Linked DNA regions of Struthio camelus. The protein of the gene in region 1 purifies or fractionates together with the protein of each later gene. This does not show direct contact. Links are inferred from orthologs where the notes say so. Each region holds a gene or a part of one and is shown in the gene's direction. Other genes may lie near its edges.

What was found.
Region 2: the proteins of KLC1 (region 1) and KIF5C purify together in Homo sapiens (co-immunoprecipitation; 4 studies listed by BioGRID and IntAct, counting the BioPlex papers as one, with this or other methods). This does not show direct contact. The link is inferred for Struthio camelus from reciprocal best matches to the Homo sapiens genes KLC1 and KIF5C.
Region 3: the proteins of KLC1 (region 1) and KIF5A purify together in Homo sapiens (co-immunoprecipitation; 7 studies listed by BioGRID and IntAct, counting the BioPlex papers as one, with this or other methods). This does not show direct contact. The link is inferred for Struthio camelus from reciprocal best matches to the Homo sapiens genes KLC1 and KIF5A.

The regions. Positions count from the first base shown.
Region 1 is NC_090946.1:72,488,362-72,495,608, forward strand, and holds the start of KLC1 (kinesin light chain 1), read left to right. Parts: upstream 1-4,198; 5' UTR 4,199-4,554; intron 4,555-7,247. UniProt on the Homo sapiens protein: Kinesin is a microtubule-associated force-producing protein that may play a role in organelle transport. The light chain may function in coupling of cargo to the heavy chain or in the modulation of its ATPase activity.
Region 2 is NC_090947.1:43,665,234-43,672,969, forward strand, and holds the start of KIF5C (kinesin heavy chain), read left to right. Parts: upstream 1-4,710; 5' UTR 4,711-5,048; coding exon 5,049-5,174; intron 5,175-7,736. UniProt on the Homo sapiens protein: Microtubule-associated force-producing protein that may play a role in organelle transport. Has ATPase activity. Involved in synaptic transmission. Mediates dendritic trafficking of mRNAs.
Region 3 is NC_090969.1:2,321,132-2,329,083, reverse strand, and holds the start of KIF5A (kinesin heavy chain), read left to right. Parts: upstream 1-4,899; 5' UTR 4,900-5,102; exon of another isoform or gene 5,103-5,660; 5' UTR 5,661-5,689; coding exon 5,690-5,818; intron 5,819-7,952. Other genes in the region: DCTN2 (dynactin subunit 2), read right to left, coding at 1,818-1,886, 3,269-3,304. UniProt on the Homo sapiens protein: Microtubule-dependent motor required for slow axonal transport of neurofilament proteins (NFH, NFM and NFL). Can induce formation of neurite-like membrane protrusions in non-neuronal cells in a ZFYVE27-dependent manner.

The DNA.
Region 1 (7,247 bases):
ATTGCTAGTGGGGTGAAATAAGTATGAACAGGTGTGAGCGGTCCCTCAGAGGTGGGAACCTACTCCTTGGATGCAGGGAGTGAAGATACAAGTCAAGGGGTTTGTAGAGGAGAGCTTCTGACGATAACTAAACTGTTAGACGTTCTACCGTTTGAAGTATCTTGGGAAATACTGACAGTGTCTGTAAATTCATATAGCACAGAATATTATGGGTTGTCCAACGGCACAATTCTCAGGAAATCCTTGATCATTTAATACTTTGCACATCATAGAGGAAACGAGGATATAGAAACGTAGCTGTGTTGCTGAAATTGTCTACTATTTTTCTTTATGTTCATACAGTAATATTGACATGCAAGTTGTCTAACAGTTTCTAGCATTCATCTGGTTACTTTAACTGAATTAGTTGAGGATTTTTAGTCTGTTTTTTATGATAGAAATGTTTTAGAGCTAACTGAAAGGCTTTCCAAAACATTCCAGTGTCCTTTGAACTTTAATAATGCTGCTATGTAATAGCTATGAAATGAAGGGAATTTGGGGTAGCAAAATGTTAATGTCCACAGCAAGCATCCTGCTCTGCTTAAAAGAGTAACAGAAATTAACTAATGAAATGACCTTGTGAACTTTAATTACATTGCATGATCTTCTTGTTATTTAACAATAGGGCAGGGGAAATAGAAGAGAGGGTAGAAAAGGGCAGGGAGAAGCACACTACCTTTCATTTCTTGCAGCTTTTTAGACATCCTTGTGGCTAAGGAAAATTAACTTGCATGTAAATGAAGCATATTGTCTTGGGGAGTAGGATCGTGAGCAGTGTTTATTTTACTTAGTACTTTAATGCTATGTCCAACAGTGGGTTCCCTATGGTAAGTTCAGGCACCTGGAGTATAATAATGAATCATGTCAAAATACAGTCCTTTTACTCCAAAGTGCTCGAGCTCCATAATAACAAGGTAGTTCTGCGTGCATTAATTGCACATAAGCACAAAGGAGTTAGACTAAAACTGTGTGGAACCACGTACTTGACGCTTTTGACTCTTAAACAGTGATTTTTGTTTGCTGTTTTCCGTATGGGAAATTCTTTTATGAAATATGAATTCTTTGTAAAGAATATAAATTAGCTTATGCAACTGTCAAGTGATCATGATGAAAAACCAGACAGGTTCCTGAATCTGGCCTTTCGGTATTTATTGTTGCCAGGATGCTTTTACATAGCATTTTAGCAGTGGTTGAATTTATTCCAATTTAGTGCTTTATGGCAGCCCATATTTATAAAATGAAATCATGGATTTTATAGACGGTAGGATTAGATTTAAAAAAAAAAAAACTTTTGTCTCCTTCTTCTAGGAGGGAAGATGCTCTAAATCTAAAATTATTTTTTTGAATGACAATGGTAAAATAAAACATCGCATGCTTCCTAAATGAAGTGAACATGAATTTCTTTGTAGAAGCTTCCTCTGACTGGATGTCAGTCAAACTGAACTTGGGAGTTTGCTGTGTGTATTTCTCACATTGTTACGTTACCTCAAAACGTAAGAGTTTTGTGTTGTATTAGCTTTACTGCTTGCTTTTTTCCTCCCACTGTGAATTACAAACCTTCTTTTGGGAGAGGAGAGAAATGGGTATATTGAGGGAAAAAGAATCTGGCAGTGTAAATAACATGTTTTGGGGTTTTAATATCCACTGAGATGTCTGCAGAAAACCACAGTGACTTTGTGGCAGATAAAGACTATTCTAGAGACAGCAAGTCTAGATCACTTCATCCTAAAAGCAGGGCAAATAGGATAACTAACTCCTTAAGAGAAGATGCAAATGTGGGGCAATATTACAGTTTTACTGCTGGAAGAACTTAGATAATTCTTACGTAGATTGGACAGGAAAAACAAGATCCAACTGAAGAGAAACTCTTATGGTACTTGCAGTCAGGCAGAAGCTTGAGGAAGAAGCAGGCTGACGAAGTCTCTTTTGCCTCTGCTCTTCTACTGCGTGCCATAAACAGAGGGGAGTAATACCACGCTTTAGTTCCATTGAACTGATCAACCTTCCTGCACCGGGGAGCTTATAGCGTGTGCTACTTATGCAAGAAATTGCAAGCATACTTCATTAGCCTGCATATTATGAATCAGGGTCATCGCTGGAGTAGTTGCTTTGTTCAGAGATGCTCAGAGATCCCTGGGGTAAGCAACTAATTACAGAAAATCTTGTAAAGTATATGTGTGATAGGAAGAAAGTAATGAATATTGTTTATTTAAAAGATAGGCGTGGTTCCTTTGAATCAGTTCTCTTGCATAATTATGTAATTAGGACGTTCTATTTTTAATTAAATCTCTTGCATATTCATGAAAACGCTGAACTTGTGGACCCACAGGCATGATTCTTATTTTTAAAATGTAGTTTGTATAAAGGAATGCCTTTCAATTCCTTTTTTTTCCCCTTTTCACATTACTGTCCAAACACCTATTTCACAGTATTATACATAGTTAGGCTGGCCTATCCCCTGACTTTCCTGTCCAAGCTGCCCTGTGATGATAAACCACACAAAATTATCAGAGGAATGTTATTTTAAATGGAGATGAGAAACACAAAAAGCTGCTGCTCTGAAGTACATGTATCACAACTGTTTTTGCTAGAAAGCTCGATCTCTGTAAGATGTGAATCAGCAGTATTCTGGAAGTATACTTCAGTTCCCTCAGCTTTTCAGATCCAACAGTAATTCTCTGTCCTTGCAGTCTGTAGACAATCCACTTCCCCCCAAACTTTATGTTGTTCCTCATAGGCTTCTGTGAACTGTCTTTTCCTGTTCTACTTCTTTGACGACAGCATTAGCTTTGATTCCTTTTCCGTCTTCCTGCTTCTTCTTAGTCTTGCTTTCTCACCTCATTCTTGTTCTCACATCTGCCATCTTCTAGATGTGTTCAGTGTTACATGTGAAGGCAAATAACACGTAAGCAGAGCTTTCCTTTTATATTGTAAGGTATACCACTTAGATGACACATTTTGATTTAGCACTATACCTCCGCATGGTTCCATAAGTTAATGATTCATACCTGTATCTCCTGTAGGAGTTACATGTATGGTGCTCAGGCAGGCAATACGCCCCATAATAGTCTGTCTAGACTCTAATAACTCTTTCATAAAGTTGGGCTGTCACTGTTCCCTGATGATTCCTAATGTACATTTTACTGTTGTGTCATATCTTTAATCCCAAACCCCGGCTCCTTCCATCTTCCTTCATTTCTGGGATGGACTTCTACTGAACAGAATATAAAGCAATATGGAGAAAATCTTGTGACCAGTCTCTCCTCTTTTGAGAGAATGGGAGTGAAATGAGACACTGCAAGGAAATGCAGTTCTTGGTGTCACTAAAAGTTATGATGAAACTCTTGTTTTTCCTTTTATGAATAAACCTATAGAACAATAGGGATCTTTTATTATGTTCAATGCGCACCTAAGACAAGGGTGTGGAAACGTATTAGCAGCCCGTGAATCCTGGGAGGGGACCCAGCCTCCATAGCATTTGTACTTCAGCCTCGGCTGTCCTTTGTGTGACCTGTACATCGACTGCAAGCTGCCTGCGTGCTGCAGCTCCTTTAATGCGCCTTTGTTCCAGAGGTGCTTGAGAAGGGACCACGGGCTTTTTATGTCCTATTGTCAGCCTTATAGCAAAACAAAATTCCAGAACGTCTTTCCAGGGCATACAAAACCATAAACATGGGAAATACCCGCACCCTACCTAGGGACAACACCAAGGCTGGGTCACCTGAGCGTGCGCTTAGCAAACGTCGGGTTTTGCTCGTGACAGCAGCACCTTTCACGCACACGCGCCCTTCCCCCCCGTCCGGCGAGGGGGCACGGCCTAGGCCCGTCTGCCCCGACACGGCCTCGCACCTGAGCCCTTGAAGGCCTTGGCTCAGCATCTTCCCTGCGCGGCGCCGGGCAGGGAGGGGCGCCGGGCGCGGCTGCCCAAGGCGGCCGGGGCCGGGGCGGCCGTTGGACTCGCACTCGCCTCGCGGGCGGCCGTTACCCGCCGCGCGCGGGGGGGGGGGCGGGGGGGCGGATGACATCATAGACCGTGTCGGGGGGAGGTTCTAGAAAGAAGGGCGCGCGGGGGACTGTGGGAGAAGGAGTGGGGGCGCCGCCATGTTGCGCGGGGCGGGGCGACGGGCTGCGGAGGCGGCGGGGCGGGCAGAGGGGCGGCGGGGGCGGCGGCGGCGGGGGCTGCCTGCAGCTGTCAGCGCCCGCGCCTCGGAGGCAGGGCCCCGCGCCGACCTCCGCGGCCGTCGGGTCGGGCCGGGCCGGGCCTGTCAGTGCCTCTCAGGCCTTCGGAGCGGCCGCGGTGCCGACCCGCTTCCTTCGCTTCTCTCTCTCGTTCTCTCTCTTTTCTCCCGCCCCCCCCCCCAAAAAAAAAAAAAAAACACCCTTTTCCTTCCTCCCTTCCGCCCGCCCATCGCTGACATCCTCCTCCGGCCGCCTCTTCTCCGCCCCCGCGGGCTGCGCGGCCCCCGCCGCCTCTGCGAGCGCTGCGCACATCGCCCGAGCCTGCAGCACCGAGCGGTGAGTGAGGGGCGCGCCAGCCTCTGACAGCGAGCGGCGGGGCGGGGGGCAGCCGGGGGCTTCGGGGCTTTTTATCTGCGCCTTCCTGTCTGCCGTTAGGCAGAAACAACAAAAGGTTGGGCTGGCCGGCTGGTCGCCTGCAGCTCCGGCTGACAGCCGGCCCGTTTCGTGTGCGGTGGGTTGGGTTTTTTGGGTAGGTGGGTGGGGGGGAGGCGAAGGGGAGGATGTTTCCCCGTGTTTTATCTAAAGCTCTGTTAGTTGTAATCACCCGTGGGGAGCGCAGCGCTGGGGGGGAGGAGGAGGCGCCCCCACCCCCACGGCAGGGATGTGATCGGCTTCGCTTTGTCCCCTTGCTGGCGTCGGTCCGCGCTGCAGCCCGGGCCGGGCGCCGCCCAGGGAGGGGACCGCGGGCAGGGCGGGGCGGCGGGAGGGGGCGCCGCTTCGCCCGGCTTCCCGGCTGGCGGGCCAGCGGCCGCGCGCCGGTTTTACTTTATTGTGCCTAGTAAGCTAGTCGTTGCTAATTCTGAAATGGTGAAAGAGGAGTTCGGGAAGACAGCTTGGGTTTCGCAGTGACCAGATTTATAACGTTATAGGGCACCAACCCATGCTACGGTCTCAGACGATTCTCAGACTTTGATCTTGACCCAGGAGATATCTACAGTTCCAAAATAATGAAGGAAAACGTAGATTATGAATGCTTAATTTTAGCGAAATAACATTAATACATTACTGACTTTATTGATGTCTATCGTTTGCCTAGACGTTAATTAGAAAGACTTCTAAAAATCTTTCTCTTTTTGGCTTTTTGTTTTTAATATTGTTAGATAACAAAACGTCTGATCTGTAAATCTGCACAGCAGTTGTGTACAGTCACAAGAAAGGACTTCTTGATTCTTTAATGAATGCTTTGTTCTAAGGGTATTGGAGTATGTTTTAATGATCAAAGCAGCATCACCTAAATTAATGCTGCTAACTGGCTTTTTGAAGGCTAAGTCAATTATGATGCTTTTTTTTTTTTTTTCTTGTTAATCATTTCCTACAGTGTTTATTACTTAAATGTAACAATGGTAGTCAAATACTGAATATGGAACCAGAATACAGAATCAGAAAGTAAGGCCAACTAGCAAAAAGTGAAAGGTTGTTTTCATGGCTTACTTTGAACAGCAAAAATGTGAGCAAATGTCGCTCCTGATATTATTTTATATCACAGTTAAACATAAAATTGTATTAAATGAGAACTTATTTTAAAATATAATTTCGGAGTTCTTGCTGTTGGCCGAAGGCACAGTAACAATTACCCTAGGAAGTAATTGTCTCTTTCTCTTCCCCTTTTGTATTTGCACTGCACTTAAATAGGAAACTTATGCTCAGAGGGTGTGCATTGGAAAGCTAAAAAGGAACCTTCAAGATTTAGATGGTTAAGCATTTTAACTGAACAGATCTTTTTAAATTCAGCATTGAATTTTGATTTCTTTTGGAAAATAGCTTTATTTTAATTGATTATGAATTCCAAAGCTTCACTGAAACATAGTAGAGGATAATATAACCCTCGGATTATAGCTATAATTGAAAGTAACACATTCAGCATTTACTGGCAGCAGTGAGAAAACTGATCCATTTGGTGATTCTAAGCAAAAGGCCTTGTATTTTGTAAGCCAATTAAACAATTTTTTTTTTTTTTCGGTGAGCACATGGTTTAATAACGCATTTCTATGAAATCATTAAAAATGTGGAAATCTCTAGCTGTTCTCTTTGGATATGCTTTTTGTATTATGCAGAACCATGTGAGGAAATGCAGAGAATAGATATTGTCAGTTCTCAGAGTCACACAAGAATGCAGTATCACTTCTGCATCATGTTGCAGTTAAAGTTTGGCAACCTTTCTCCTTCCAAAGGATGATGATTGGGCTAAACAAATCCATTAATGAGAAATTTGAACAGCAGTTGGGTTTAAATTCCATTCATTTTATCATAAAAGTGCCATCGTATGTAATTAAAAAAGAGAATGAAAGAGTTATGTCTACCTCCCTAAAACTGTCTTGAAATTGTCTCATTTACTGTTCATCACGTTACTGTGAGATGGTAAAAGTGGCCTAATAATGGAAAATGATTTAAAAAAAAAAAAAGTAAGTCTTTTTTGGCAAAAGAGGAATTGCACACTAAACTGCAAATGGAGTTTGCAGGAGTCCAGAATAGGATCTACTGAATGCTTTCTGACATAAAAGAATCGAGAATAACGCTCAAGAATGCTGTATGTGATATAAGAGCAGTTGCTGCTTGCCCTGCTTATGAGGAACTTTCTTTGATGATACCGGAAAACCCTCACTTGTGTGCTATTTTTATGCCCTACACCTCTCTCTCTCTCTATATGTCTTTGTACGTGTATCTGTATACATATACACACATATTTATGTCTGTTATTTCGCTGGGAGTGTAGGGAAGTACTGTATCTCCATATTGAGTTCTGAGTCCATTTAATGCAGCTTCTGTTTCTCTTGAGACTTGTGGACTTGTGCAGTTACTCTTCCATCTCTTCCTCTGCTTGGCTTCTGTGGCAGACAAATGCAACTGAGTTTATTGTAGGGTTAACAGCATATCTGCAGATGCATAGTTTATGATTGTTTTAAAACTTAATTCGCTGTACAAATAATTACAAAAATAGTATTTCTTTAAGAGGAGTGGAAAGCAAGCAA
Region 2 (7,736 bases), on another chromosome or scaffold:
AACTAATTATTCTGTTTCAAGTTGTGTTTTCTACATTAGCATATAAAATACAGATCAACATTTTGTGTGTATGTATATATAAAAGTCATATTTTGACCTGAAATTTTTCTCAATCTAAAGACTTTTGAATTATAGAAATTCCCTTGAAACAAGTTCTTATAAAAATCTAGTTTAAATCTTTGAACTGCATTACCTTCCTAGTTATTCTGAAGTATTTCCTATTGCCTATTTTAAAAACTCTTCTATGATTTAGAGTAAGTAACATATCAAGATGCTATTACACAGAAATAGGAGGAAATTATCTCCTTTATATTGCATGCTAGTGAGCATCTTAGGGCTGACTGTAATAAGAGACAAAATACTGAACAAAAAGAAAGGAATACTGATCATGATCCAAGGTTTTTTTTTTTTTAGCTAAATTTTTAGTTCAGCCCCAGGTCTTATGTCTCACTGCTAAATGACTGTGCAACATCATAATCCAGTCCTGCCAAGGTGCTTTGCCTGTAAGGCAAAGAGCAACTTGTGTCCATTCAATTCAACATTGCCTTTTATTGCCTTTCATTATATGCGTCAGATGGTAAATGCCTCAAGGACTTTTTTCCTCTGTAAAATAACACTCTTACATATTGCATTCAATTTAATAATGATGTCTAACAACATTTCAAATTCAAGAAAGAACAGCATGCAATACATGAAGTCCAAAAGCAAGATAGTAAATAGCTGCTCACAAACTTCCAATCACTTAAAAGCGTGGCGCTATATGGCCATGTCCACTTGGATTCAACAGCCAACGGCTACCAAATTAGAAGCTCTGACTATGAGGCATGAAATCCACCTGCTGGCTCTGTTCTTGGTAACAATTACCACAAGCCCTGGAGCTCAGCATTTCTTAGATTAAGTGGTGCAAGCAAATGTTTCAGTAAAAGGGATATGGCTTACAGAAAAATTACATGTGTATAAAATTGGAGATTACTGCAGATGATGTTGGAACATGAAATAAAGAAGCACGTGTTTTTTAAGTACAAAGGAAAAAGACCTGCAGGACAGGAACTGCAAGAAAGGAACTCCAGTGACCCAGATCACTCAAAAAAATATCACCTGCCTGGCCAAGGGAAATATTGCTTATAGGATAACCACCTTGGGTGACTGAGTGGTGGTTACCCAGAACCTATACCTGTTCTTTGCCTAGACAAATGGTCTATAGCCTGGTCTCTCCTGAAGTATTAATGGGCAGCCTTTTCTTTGGTGATGCATGGGTATAGATCGCAGTTCCTCCCAACTGTCTTCTCAACGTTTCTAAGTTCATTTTGTTGCCTGTTCTTCAGTCTTTGGCTTCCTAGTTTTTTATTCCCTTTGAACAGTTCTTTTGGGTCTATGGAAAAGACGCAGGTTTTCACATGCCTCTGTTATCTATCTCCTTACTTCTGTGGGATCATCTCTTCGTAAGAGTGTCTGTTTTGCTGTTCAGCCCTGCTATCACATAGGTCCCTTCTGTTGGGTTTTTGCTTCAGCCTGAACAGCTTGGCCATAACAGTGGCTCATGTGTAGAGAAATGGAATCTCATTGTTTTCTTATGGACAGTTCCCCCCCGCCACCTCCAGCCTCAGAGAAGGGGATTTGTTATTCCTTTGGGACTTCTTCAACATCCTGAGCTGTTTAGTGAACTGTCTCAGCTGAGGCTGGCTCAGCTTGTGCGTTTCTTCAGGAGCAAGCAGAACTTGCTGTCAGCCCCTGTATAACTCTGTCAGGGTCATTTGAATGGTGGAATTTGAATCTAGCTGGAGAACGTGCCCCACAGCTTCAAGGAAAGGAGATTGATATCAAGGCTTGCTTTCTTCCACTTTTGTGGTGTTGGTAGCATGAAAATTCTGTGTCCAGGTATAGTGTAGCTCACAAAAGCCAGGCAGTGTGTAATGGTATTTTCTGGAAGTATGCTATCTGTTTTTTTGGAGAGAGGGGGGGGAAAAAAAAAAAAGTAAGATTACAGGAATGGGGATGAATGCTTTCCTGTATCTTCTGAGTTCATGTTTCTTGTGATGCAGTTTCCCAATAAACAATAAATCATACCTTCCACCATTTACTACTCTGAGTGAGGTACCAGGGCATCCAGATCAAGGTGGAAGCTCACAAGCTCATGAAGTTCTAATCACCTCCAAGACTGACTGGAACCTAATGTTCCTACTAAGTTGCTTAACGCTCAACAGTCTAGTAATAACAAGTAAAAAGAGCAGGTTTATGACAATACAGTATTGTCATACATTGACAATACAGACAATATAATATTGTGACAATATTGCTAAGAAAAATGCTCTTCAGTGTGTTCTTAGTGGCTGTAGATTATACCTGCTCTAATTAGAAAATAGAAATTTGCCTATTGTTATCCACATTGAGCTCTTGATATTGGAGAAAAATACAAATGAATTCATCAGAACAGTTGTCTTTTATGACTAAGCCCCTGCTTGTCATGACTTATGAATTTGCTATTCAGGGCAAAAGCTTGAAACATAAAAAGAAATAAAAGCGCTAGATAATTGGTAATCCACAGGAATAAATCACATTATATAATAATGTCTTATCACATCCTGCACATTGCTAACTCTCTTTGATGTAATTACTTTTAAGAAGGGCATGAGAATCTTTTTAACTAGCCTGCTCTTTTCATATCCACATCAGGTAATGAGGACAACCACTGAGCTAAAAGAAAGAGAAATCTCCCTAGGACCGCCAAAGAACTGACCATTGTCATCTTAATTATGATTGAGGCTAATGTAATGCAACTGAAACTCCTTTCTTTGGAGGAAACTGATTGCAGGGGTTGCTTGGAGTGGCTAAAGTCCAGGGACTGTCTCTTACTTACGGGAAGACCTCAATGGTTGTTGCATGTGTCTTTTAGCAGTCTAACTTGCAGGGAGAAACGGATGGAGGAGGTGGAGGCTAAATAAGGTAGTGTAGACTATTTCAGACAACTCTAATCAATTAAATGAACTACCCTCCTGTCCCCAACCTTGTACCAAGGTTAAGTTACAGGTACTTTCAGCAGACAAAGAAGAAATAGGGCTAAGTGAAGAAGGAGAGCAAATGTGAAGAGTAGGAAGAGGCACTAGGACTTTGTTTTTTTTCAGATGAATATTCACTGACTGAATAGTCACAAACTTCTTGTTAACTTAACAAGGTCAGAGCTTCACTCAGAGCTACTATTTTTTTCTGCCCTTTCTCACAAAAATATCTATGGGTAGTATAAAGAATGGGAATGCTGGCATGACAGCTGAGGAATAAATAAGCCTTTAATCTCTTTATCAGAGGCAAAGAACAACAGATTTCTAGTCATACCCCTTTGTTCCACCTTTACCATGAAGTTGCCCGTTTAGTGTATGAAATCTCTGTAGAAGAGAGAAACCAGCCTAATCCAGGAGGCTTAATCCTGGTGAAAAAAAAAAAAAAGAGTACAGGGGAGCCGTTGAGGGGAACTGTGAGGGTCGGGGGAGCCGTTGGGGTTGGGGGGGGGTGAGAACCGCTGAGGGGAGCCGTGAGGGTCGGGGGAGCCGTTGGGGTTGGGGGGGGGAGGTGAGAACCGCTGAGCGGAGCCGTGAGGGTCGGGGGAGCCGTTGGGGTTGGGGGGGGGAGGTGAGAACCGCTGAGGGGAGCCGTGAGGGTCGGGGGAGCCGTTGGGGTTGGGGGGGGGTGAGAACCGCTGAGGGGAGCCGTGAGGGTCGGGGGAGCCGTTGGGGTTGGGGGGGGGAGGTGAGAACCGCTGAGGGGAGCCGTGAGGGTCGGGGGAGCCGTTGGGGTTGGGGGGGGGTGAGAACCGCTGAGGGGAGCCGTGAGGGTCGGGGGAGCCGTTGGGGTTGGGGGGGGTGAGAACCGCTGAGGGGAGCCGTGAGGGTCGGGGGAGCCGTTGGGGTTGGGGGGGGGGAGGTGAGAACCGCTGAGGGGAGCCGTGAGGGTCGGGGGAGCCGTTGGGGTTGGGGAGGGGGAGTGAGAACCGCTGAGGGGAGCCGTGAGGGTCGGGGGAGCCGTTGGGGTTGGGGGGGGGTGAGAACCGCTGAGGGGAGCCGTGAGGGTCGGGGGAGCCGTTGGGGTTGGGGGGGGGAGGTGAGAACCGCTGAGGGGAGCCGTGAGGGTCGGGGGAGCCGTTGGGGTTGGGGGTGAGAACCGCTGAGGGGAGCCGTGAGGGTCGGGGGAGCCGTTGGGGTTGGGGAGGGGAGTGAGAACCGCTGAGGGGAGCCGTGAGGGTCGGGGGAGCCGTTGGGGTTGGGGGCGGGGGTGAGAACCGCTGAGGGGAGCCGTGAGGGTCGGGGGAGCCGTTGGGGTTGGGGGGGGGTGAGAACCGCTGAGGGGAGCCGTGAGGGTCGGGGGAGCCGTTGGGGTTGGGGGGGGTGAGAACCGCTGAGGGGAGCCGTGAGGGTCGGGGGAGCCGTTGGGGTTGGGGGGGGGGTGAGAACCGCTGAGGGGAGCCGTGAGGGTCGGGGGAGCCGTTGGGGTTGGGGGGGGGGTGAGAACCGCTGAGGGGAGCCGTGAGGGTCGGGGGAGCCGTTGGGGTTGGGGGGGGTGAGAACCGCTGAGGGGAGCCGTGAGGGTCGGGGGAGCCGTTGGGGTTGGGGGGGGGTGAGGGTCGGGGGAGCCGCTGCGGCGCGCGCCGCTCCCGCCGCCCGCCACCTGCCGCGCGGACTACGCCCCCCAGCAGGCCGCGCGCGCGCGCACCGCGCCCGCGGGGCGGGGCGGGGCTGGCGTACTGCGGTGCAGCCACAAAGCGCGGGGCTGCGGGAGCGGCGGCCGGTGCCCGGCGGCGATGGCAGCGGGCCGGCTCTGAGCGGGGCGGCGTGAAGGCTCCGGGCGCCCCACTGCCTTCCTCCAACGGCCGCACCGCGGTGAGAGGCGATGGTTGCTGCGCGGGCGGAGGCTGAGGTGCGCCGCTGCCGCCGCGGCGTGTGAGGCGGTGCCCTGCCCTGCCCGCCCTCATGCCCCGCTAGCGGCAGGGAGGCCGCCCACAGCGCCCGCCTCGCAGAGGGCTCCGGTGCGGCAGCCCGGTGCGGCAGCTCGCCGGCGCGATGGCCGATCCCGCCGAGTGCAGCATCAAAGTGATGTGCCGCTTCCGGCCCCTCAACGAAGCCGAGATCCTGCGGGGGGACAAATTCATCCCTAAATTCAAAGGCGAGGAGACGGTGGTCGTAGGGGTAAGTGTGTCCCCCCCCCCCTCCTGCCCCCGGACACCTCGCCGTCGCCGGGCTCCCGAGCGTCCGGCGGGCGCTGCCTGCCGGGGCCGCTCGCCCGTTGCCGCCGCCGAGGGCGGGGTGGCGGCTCCTGCCTCCTTCACCTTGAGGGTGGCGCAGCGGGGAGCCCCCGGCCCCGGAGGCGGTGGGGGAGGCGGCGGCTGATGTCATGCCCGTGACTGGGCATGCTCGCAGCTCCCCTCCGCTGCTGGGGCGGGGGGGCTCGTTGCGGCAGCCGCCGGCCGGCCGGGAAAGTCCCCCCCCCCGCCGCCGCCGCCCCCCGGGGCGGTGTGGAGCGGGGAAACGCGCCCGGGCGTCGCTCCCCTCCGCGCCGCCGCAGCCGCCTCCGCCGGCGGGTCGTGCTGGCGTCCAGAGCCGGGCGCGGACAAAGCGCCGGCGGGGTGCGGGGTGGGGGGGGGGAAGCTGTTAAATCCTCATCTCTCCATCGGTGCGGCTTCCTTGCTGCAGATAATTTCAGAGGATGCAGCTTTTTTTGTGTGTGATTTTTTTTTTTTTTTGATGTGCTGTGTGTCTTGTGCGTCATTGTGGGTGCGTGACAGGCTGCGTTAGGCAGGCGCGCTGAGGCACCTGCGCTTGCAGGCTTCGGTAGGAGAAGTGGAAGTGCTGTGAGAGCGAAGACTCGGTATCTACCCTTATTTAAAAAGACCCACACCCGGGGAAGTTTTTTCTTTTCACTATATATATAGAGATATATATATATATATAAAAAAAAATTTTAAACATCAACCCGTTGCCACGCTTCCAGAGACAACGTGCTCTCCAGTAGGACAAATTTTGTTTTTTCTTGCCCCTTTATAAGGGACGGACTGCTCGTAAGAGTAAAAACTTTAAAATAAGTCATGCCGATCACTTTGTGATTTGGGATGCGGCTCCTTTGCTGACTGGTTGACATGGCGCAGCATGCTTGTCAAGACTGCACGCTGAAGTGCCCCTGCTGTTCTTGGAGTTGGAGCTTTCCAAAACTGGCTTCTCGGCAGGGGTTCAGTTCACAAGTCTGCTAGCGATGGTCTTGGTGGGTGTGGATGTACAATACTGGACACTTTAAGTTCGGTTAGTTTTCAGCTTACTGTCTAACCAGTAGTGTCTTTGCTGTTTTGTTTTATATATTGGTCTACTTTGGTTAAGCTATCAAGATGTCCAATACTTCACTATGATAAAGAGCCCTTAAAATTACTAATACTAAGCATATATTATTACTTACATGCTCAATTAATGTTCTTATTTAAACCATGAGTTAGCAGAAACTTTTTTTTTTCCATGAAAGCTGCTAAATAATTATGGATGAGTGAGGAAAAATTGAGTCAATTTTGGACATAAGTGAATGACTCATTTCTCTTTATTTGTACTTAACTAATTTGGCTCTATAGGAAACACTTTTCTGTTATTTGAAGGTTATAGTTTTTAACACCTACACCAATGTGTTAGAGATGATAATCTCAATCAACAATACAGGGCTGTCACTTTGGTCTGCAGATATTTGGAACGAAGGAGGAGTAACTGTACCACAGTCATTTGGATACTTAAAAAACAAATGTCAGTAGATCTTCCTCCTCCCTTAAATAAGTAAACCCTCAGACATATGAAAAGTAGGTTAAAATACATCAGTTGAATATCCTTTTAACAATATCATTTCTCAGAGAAGCAGAGTTCAGAATACTTCTTTCCCCTTCAGTGAATGTGCGGGTGGCTTAGAATGCATCGTTGTTTATTAAGTGTCTGTCTGGGAAAACAGTAACTATGATGCATCAAAAAAGGTGTTAATATCTTGCAGATAATTCCCTTAGGATAAAGATTAAAAGAGAAAATAACAATTTTTAATTTCTACCATGGGAGTTTAAAGACTGGTGAGAGAGGGAAAAATACATGTATTTTAAATAATGCATTTTTATCCTTATATATATGTTTTCAGTTTGGCAGGATCATTTTTCAGGGACATTATTAGTCATGAAAATCTGATCTTAAGCTTAGGGTATGCTTTTCCCTTCTATTCATGGGGCAAAGTACAGGTTCTTGCTCAGGTGTACATCTTGGTCGTGTTAATTAGTGGAAAATGTCCTCAAATACAGCTTGCTTTTTCTAAGAGAAACCATCCCCCTGGGGTTCCGTGGGGATATTTGTAGCTACTTGCAGTGTTGTAAATATAAATGAAAATAAAAATCTTTACATATTCGTTGTCATCTCTATTCATGGTACTGGGTCATGGAGATTTGGTGCAACTTGATCTACAGTCATATACAGATCTGTACTTGATACTGCTTTCTACTGATTTACTGCAGTACTGTAAGTATTATTTACTCATTCAGAGTTACTGCTTAAATCCAGCACATAATGTTTAGCTGGGGGAAAGAACCCTGGTTCTAATGGAAGATACTATCAGAGTAAACTCCCATCTAGAAAACCAGCATTTTAATCTCAAAAAGTTCTTAATGTTACGTTAAACAAAAACAAACCAGAAATGAGCGCCAGTGTTTTATTAAAGCATTTGGAAGAAGACTGCAATGCAGC
Region 3 (7,952 bases), on another chromosome or scaffold:
GCAGCAGGCGCGGACGTGCGCCAGCCAAGGCAGCATTGCTAATTCATGCCGGCGGCCGCCGCAGCAGAGCCCACACCCAGCCGCCGGCCTGGCACCCGCCCGGCAGGGACTGCGGCACCCGCGGCTCCCCGGCTCCGGCGTTATCGTCCTCGGGCCCCCACGGCAGCTCTCTGGGCCCAGCCAAGGGGCCCTAAATCCTTTATTTCGTGGGGTAGGACATCACCGCTTCCGGTTTGGAGCAGCCGAAGGGCGAGGCTCCCAGAAGAGGAAACCGGAGGAATTAAAATCCCGGTTAACCCTTTGCCTCCTGCCTACAGCTGGGGCTGCATGGCGGGGAAAACGGGTGCAGGGGAGGCAAGTCACGGACACGGCACCACTGTATCACCGATGGCGACTTCAGAGTATCTGAGGCCTGACTGGTGCTGTTTGGGGTGAAAAGAGCCAATTTCAGTCTGATTTACTGACTGAACCTGCCAGGACATGGGGGTCAGCAGGGATGCATTTGCCTGCAGGTGCCAATTTGCCCTGTCGTGTTTTTTTTACCGCTCAACGGGAGTCCGAGTGCCCAGCGTCCTCCCGCTGCAGCCATCCAGCTCCGACACACAGGGCCCAGGCATGCAGCACGCGGAGCGTCACACCAACCCCTACGTGGCAGGACGGGGCCGAGGCTGCGCTGTCCCGTGTCGTTCCCCCCCCCCCCCCTCAAACACCAGCTGGGCCACGGCGAGAAGCCGGGTCTCGCCCCCCGCGCCGTCGAGGCCTGGCTCCCCCCCACCCCAGCTTGGGAGCACGTGCCGGCGAAGCGGGGCCCAGTGGGCGGGCAGGCAGCAGGAGGGAAAAGGATCTGCAGCGCCAGCTGGGATCCGCGGGGCCGAGGCAAGGAGGCAACGCGAATGGCACGAGGCAGCGGGGCGCCGGGAGGGCGCACGTCACGCACGCGGCAGAGCACCGGGCCGAGCGAGCGTCCCCGGGAGCACACCAAGGTGGGGATCATGGCTCCGTCAGGGTGGCCAGAGCAGTCGTTCCGGCCGGGAGCCGCCTCGGCCAGGAGCGCGGGCGAGCGGGAGCCCTTGCCCTGCCTCCCAGGCAGAGCTGGGAGCCGCCTGGCCGCAACGCAGCCCTGCCTGCGTCCCTCGTGCCATAACACGCAGGGCCTCGAGGACGGGGGCTCGGCAGCCTGAGGACAGAGCCGACCCAGCCCTGCCTGGGCGTCAGCCCCATCTCAGGGACACCACGGTCAGGTCAAGGCTGGCAGCCTCGAGGACGTGGCACGCATCGCTCCCAGAACAGCCACGGCCTGCATGCAACAAACGGGCTGCGGCGCAGGGCTGGGCCGCGGGACCCTACTGCTATTTGGGGCTGTTTTTATGGGGCCTGACCCCCGTCGGCGTGGCCCCTGTTGTCCTCCGCATGCTGCCAGCCTGCGTTTCCCGTGCCCGGCCCCCCAACCAGGCTCACGTCCATTGGCAAAGCCAATGGGGGGGGGGGGGGCGGTTCGCCAGCCCTGCTCGCGCCTGCTGCCCTCAGCTGCGTTACACCGCGTGCAGACCCTGGGGACAAGGACAGGGACAGCCACCCGGCACTGGGCAGGGATTAAGCCCTGCCAGCGCTTCGTGGCCCCCCGAAAACGTTTGCAGTTTGACCAGGGGGTGAGCGTCGCTGGGACGCAGCACCGTGGCGGGGGGACGTGGCGCTGCAGAGGCGTGCGCGGGGACAAGGGCCGTTTCCCGGTCCCGGCGTGCCGGACATCTGCAGGAAGGCGGCACAGGCAGGTTCGCGCGCACCCGCCGCGCGGCACGGCCCCAGCGAGGCCTTACCGCGTCGAACTCGGCCTGGTCGTCCTCGGGCAGGTCACTGGTCTCGTACACGTCCGGTTCGTTCCTGGCCTGGCGATGTAAACGGGCTCCGGTGAAACCGGGTGGTGGCGCGGGGCCGGCCCTGGGGGGTCAGGTCACCCTCGCAGCACCCACAACCACCCAGCCCAGCACCCCAGTAACATCACTCTCACCATCAAAGATGCCCACAATCCCCTCAGCGCTCCCTACCGTTACCCCCACACCTCAAATCCCCCCACAAAACACCCTCAGGTGCCCCCTCAACCATGGACACCCCCCTGCGGTTACCCTCCCCCACATACCCTCAGTCTTCCCAAATATTCCTGATCCCTCTTAGACACCCCCGGCACCTCCCTAACACCCCAGTTACTGTGCCAGGTTCCTCCGATCCCCCCTGGACAGGTCTGCTCCCCTTCAACAGTCCCAAGTGCCCTCTTTCTCCCCAAATGCCCCAGTTACTGTCCCGGGTTCCCCTGATCCCCTCCAAGTGGGGGGGACTCCCTCAAATACCCCCCCACTTCCTGGCACCTCCAATCTCCCCAAATGCCCCATCTACCCCTCCAGCCACCTCCCATTCCTCCGAGGCACCCCCTAATCCCCTCAGCTACCCCCCAGCCATCCTCGATCCCCCCCAGCCACCCTTGATCCCCTCAGGCCCCCCCCAAAAGCCTCAGACACCCTCAATTTCCCCCCCAGGCACCTGGATCCACCCCAGACACCCCCGATCCCCTCAGCTACCTCCAAAAAGCCCCAGGCCCCCTCCATCCCCTCAATGACCCCCCAGACCCTCCCGATCCCCCCCCCAGGCCTCCTCCATCCCCTCAATGACCCCCCAGACCCCCCGATCCCCCCCCAGGCCTCCTCCATCCCCTCAATGACCCCCCAGACCCCCCGATCCCCCCCCCAGGCCTCCTCCATCCCCTCAATGACCACCCAGACCCTCCCGATCCCCCCCCCAGGCCTTCTCCATCCCCTCAATGACCACCCAGACCCTCCCGATCCCCCCCCCAGGCCTCCTCCATCCCCTCAATGACCACCCAGACCCCCCGATCCCCCCCCAGGCCTCCTCCATCCCCTCAATGACCCCCCAGACCCCCCGATCCCCCCCAGGCCTCCTCCATCCCCTCAGTTACCCCCTAGACACCCCCGATGCCCCCCCAGGCCTCCTCCATCCCCTCAATGACCCCCCAGACCCCCCGATCCCCCCCCAGGCCTCCTCCATCCCCTCAATGACCCCCCAGACCCCCCGATCCCCCCCCAGGCCTCCTCCATCCCCTCAATGACCCCCCAGACCCCCCGATCCCCCCCCAGGCCTCCTCCATCCCCTCAATGACCCCCCAGACTCCCCGATCCCCCCCCAGGCCCCCTCATCCCCTCAGTTACCCCCCCCCGCCCGGCCCGGCCCGGCCCGGCCCGGCCCGGCCCGCACTCACGATGCCGGGCAGGTCGGCGTACTTGGGGTCGGCCATGGCCGGGCCGGGGCCGGGGCCGGTACCGGTACCGGGTCGGGCCGGGCGGCGGCGGCGGCGGGGCGGGGCCGGGCGGGACTGAACGAGTCTCGCGAGAGCTGCCGGCGCGGGGCACGCTGGGAAACGGAGTGCTGGGGGGGCGGGGGGCGGGGGGCGGGGGCCGCTCTCCGCGCGCCCCCTTCCCTCCCTGCGCGCGGGGGTGGGGGCGGGTGCACCCGGGGTGGGGGAACACGTAGGGGTGCAGGGGGGGGGTGGGTGCACATGGTGGGGTGCACACTGGGGGTGCACATGAGGGGGGTTCACTGGGGGTGCACAGGGGTGTGGGTGCACCCCGGGGGTGCACGCTGGGGGTGCAGAGGGGTGTGGGTGCACATGGGGGGTGCACACTGGGGGTGCCCTGCGGGGTGGATGCACCCCACAGGGTGCATGCTGGGATGTGCACGGAGGGTTGCACATGGCGGGGTGCACAGTGGGGGTGCCCTGGGGTGTGGGTGCCCCTCGGAGGGTGCATGCTGGGAGGTGCACAGAGAGTTGCACATGGGCAGGGTGCACGCTGGGGGTGCAGAGGGGTGTGGGTGCACATGGGGAGATGCACAGGGGGTTGCACAGTCGGGGTGCAGAGGGGTGGGGGTGCACATGGGTGTGAGTGCACACTAGTGTCAGAGTGCACAGGGTGAGTGTGCGCGGGTGTGCGTGTGCAAAGGCGGGGGTGGGCGCCCACACAAGAGCGTAGGAGCGGCCCCCCGGGTGGGCACATTCCAGGGTGAGTGCCCACTGCCGGGAGTGCACACAGGGCACCGCTGATGTGGGGCGTGAAAGCGCATGAGGTGGGGGTGAGTGCACACTCCTCTGAGTGTGAGTGCCCCCCCCCGTAAGGTGTGTGCAGGCGCTGCCTGCGGGTGTTTGTGGGTCCCTGGGGGTGAGGGGAGGGGTGCTGCAGCCATGAGCTGTCCCTGCATTGCCCCCCAGCTGGACGCCCAAGGCCCGGACGGGCCACCAAGGACACGAGCGTGCCAGGCCTCAGCTCTGGGCTAGGCCCTGCCAAGTGCCCGGAGGAGGCTGGGGGAGGGGGGGGCCGTGAGTCAGGACTCCTGGGTCCCCGGGGCTGGGGGGAGGGGAGCTGATGCCCTGCCGGGGGGGGGGGGGCAGGCAGAGAAAGGGGGGGGGACCAGCCCTGCAGCCAGCCCCGGGGGTAAATGCCCTTGAGGCTGCGGCTGGGCCAGTGCTGCCTTTGGGCTGGGGTCCTGGCCCCCTCCCTCTGTGGGGTCAAGGCCCCCCCGGGTGTCCTGCCCCCCTCCTCCAAACACTGGGAAAGGGACCCAGGCATCCTAACCCCCCCCCCAGCCTCTTCCCCAGCTGAGAGAAGGACCCAGGCGTCCTAGCCCCCCCCCTTTGATGAATCAGCAGTTTGGGGAGGGCAGGTGGCAAGGCTGGGGCTGCCCTTGCTGGGGGAAGGGAATACACTCGGGGGGGGGGGGGGAACCCTCGCCCCCCTTCCCCATTCCGGCTCCGTCCACCTTAAGGGCCGCGGGCGGCTCCACCTTAACGGGGGGGGGGGGGCGTGCGCGGGGGGGCCCGGCCTCCCCCTCCTGGTACCGGGGCTGCGGCGGCGCCGCGGTCACTGGAGCACGGGGCAGCAGCGAGCACCGGCCGCCGCCCGCACCCGCCGCCGGGCCCTGGGTCGCATCCTGAACTGCTGGGTACCACTCGCATCCCCGGCTACCACCCTGCATCCTTGGGTACCACCCGCATCCCCGGGTACCACCCTGCATCCTTGGGCAGCATCCTGCATCCTTGGGTACCGCCCTGCACCGCTCGGTCGCATCCTGCATCCTTAGGCGCTGCCCGATCCCTAAGGAGCATTCTGCATCTCTGGGTCGCATCCTGCACCCCTGGGTCGCATCCTGCCTCCTTGGGTGCTGCCTGACCCCTAGGGAGCATCCCACATCTCTGGGTCACATCCTGCATCCTTGGGTACCACCCGCATCCCTGGGCAGCATCCTGCATCCCTGGGTCGCATCCTGCACCGCTGGGTACCACCTGCTTCCCTAGGTACCATCCACATCCCTGGGTCGTATCCTGCATCCTTGGGTACCACCCTGCATCCGTGGGTGCTGCCTGACCCCTAGGTAGCATCCCGCATCCCCGGGTGCCACCCCACACCCCTGGGTACCACGCGGCCCCTGGGCAGCATCCTGCACTCCCAGGTGGCACCCCACACCCTTGGGTAGCCCCCAGCACCCCTGGGCACTACCTGCATCCCCGGGTACCACCTGCATCCCAGGGGCGCTCCCAGCATCCCTGGGCAGCACCCCACACCTTTGGGTAGCACCCACCTCTTGAGACCCCCCCTCAGTCCTCCGGGACCCCCCGGCACCCTCCAGCATGGTGGAGCCCAGCACCGAGTGCAGCATCAAGGTGCTGTGCCGGTTCCGGCCGCTGAACCAGGCCGAGATCCTGCGGGGGGACAAGTTCCTGCCCGTCTTCCAGGGTGACGACAGCGTCGTGGTGGGGGTGAGTGTGAGGAGGGGGACAGTGACCCCAGATCCCCCCAGTGGGGCAGAGGGGGACCCGGCCCACCCAGCTGTGGTGGGATTGGGGGGGGAATAGGCAGCCGGGGGGGTACTTGAAGGGGCAATAGGCAGCTGGGAGGGGGATTTGGGAGGGGATAGGCAGCCGGAGGGGTACTTGGGGGGGGGCAGTAGGCAGTTGAGGGGGGATATGGGGGAAAATAGTCAACTGGGGGGGTACTTGGGGGGAATAGGCAGCCAGGGGGGATTTGGGGGGGCCATAGCCAGTCGAGGGGGTGCCTGGGGGAGGATAGGCAGCAGAGGCATGGATTGGGGGGGGTTAGGCAGCTGAGGGGGGGGATTGGGGGGAAATAGCCAGCCAGTGGGGTACCTGTGGGGGGGAATAAGGAGGGGGAATCGCCCTGGGTGTGGTCAGCAGCGAGGGGACCCAGAGCACGATGGGACGCAGCCTCCTCGTAGCTCCCCCCAGGGCGTTTCCCCCCCCCTCCCCGCAGCACCCCTCATTCCCCTTCTGAGGGCTCTGGGTGCCCCCAGTCCCCCCAGTCTGTCCCAGTGCCCCCCGAGGCGGGGCAGCTGTTTACAGCGAGTGGAGACACCCAGATGCCCCGGGGTTGGGGGGGGGTGTCAGTGCTTCAGCACCCCGGCAGGATCGGGCCCGGGGGGGGGGGGCAGTTTGCCGCAGATCCTCCCTGCAGCACGGCCCTGCCCGGCCCTTTGTTAGGCTCTACCAGCCCCCCCACCCCGGTACCGGGGGGGGGGGGGGAGCTGCTGGAACCGGAGCTGGGAACCCCCTATAATAGGGCCTGGTGCACCGGGGGGGGGGGTTCCTGTTCGGGGGGGCTCCTCGGCCCAGCCGGCCTGGCCCCCCCCAGCCCCGGCATGGGGGGGGGCAGGGGGTTCCCCCGGAGGGGACAGGGGGATCCTGGGGGTTGTGTAGCTCTGCGGCTGTGTCATGTGGGGGTGCAGCTGTGTTGGGTGTTGTCGCACAAGGTGTTGCAGTGCCACGCGGCTGTGTCGGGTCGGGGCAGTGCGGGGCGTTGTGTCGGTGCACAGCTGTGCCGGTGCATTGCAGGGTGTTGTGTGATTGTGTGCCGTTGAAGCTGTGTGTCGCAGTGGTGGCTGTGCCAGTGCAGGGTGGAGTGTAGCGGTGCGGGGTGTCGGGTTTGGGTGCGGTTGTGTCAGCGCGGGGTGTTGCGTGGCTGTGTGCGGCGGGGTCTGCGTGTTGCTGCGCTGGTTGTGTTGCGCGACTGTGCGGCGCAGGGCGGCTGCGTGTTGCTGCGTTGGTTGCGTCGTGCCTGTGCCTCGCCGGCTGTGTTGTGTCGCTGGGCGTGCGGTGCAGGCTGTGTGCGGCTGTGCTGGGGGTGGCTGTGCGGGGCTGTGCGGCTGTGCTGGGGGTGGTTGTGCGGTTGTGCGGCTGGGCCCCGTGCGTTGTGTGTCCCCCGGGCGGCGGCGGTTCAGCACCGGGGCCTGGACAGCTCCCGCGGCCGGCGGGGGAGGGGGCGGTTGGGGGGCGTTTGGAGGGGTGTATGGGGGTATTGGAGGGGTCTGAGAGGATGATTAGGGGGTGTATGGAGGGTCTGGGGGGGTTGAGGAGTATATGGGGGGCTGGGGGTGCTCTAGGGCATGTATGGGGGGGGACTGGAGGTGTCCAAGGGGGTCTATGGGGGTCTGGGGGTATTTGAGGGGGTGTAGGAGGATCTAGGGATGTTTGGGATGTGCATGGGGGGCTGGGAGTGTCCAAGGAGGTGTATGGGGGGGTCTAGGGTTTTCTAGGGGGATGTATGGGGGCTGGGGGTGTTTATGGTTTCTGGGGGGGGGTCTGAGGGGGTAGAAATATACAGGGGCATGGGTCCTTGTGGGAGCATTTGGGGGGCCTGAGGGTATATGGGAGGCTGAGACTGTATAAGGGCGGGTGTGAGGTCTGGAAGTATATGGGGAACTGAGTGTGCCTGAGGGAGTATATGGGGGGCTGGGGGTGCATGACAGCTAATATGAGGGAGCTGAGGGGTATAGAGGTCCTGGGAGTGTATGGGAGGTGTATGGGAGGCTTGAGAGTGTTTGGAGGACTGGGGGTGTATGGGGATCCGAGGGATTTTTGGGAGGGATCAGGAGTATAT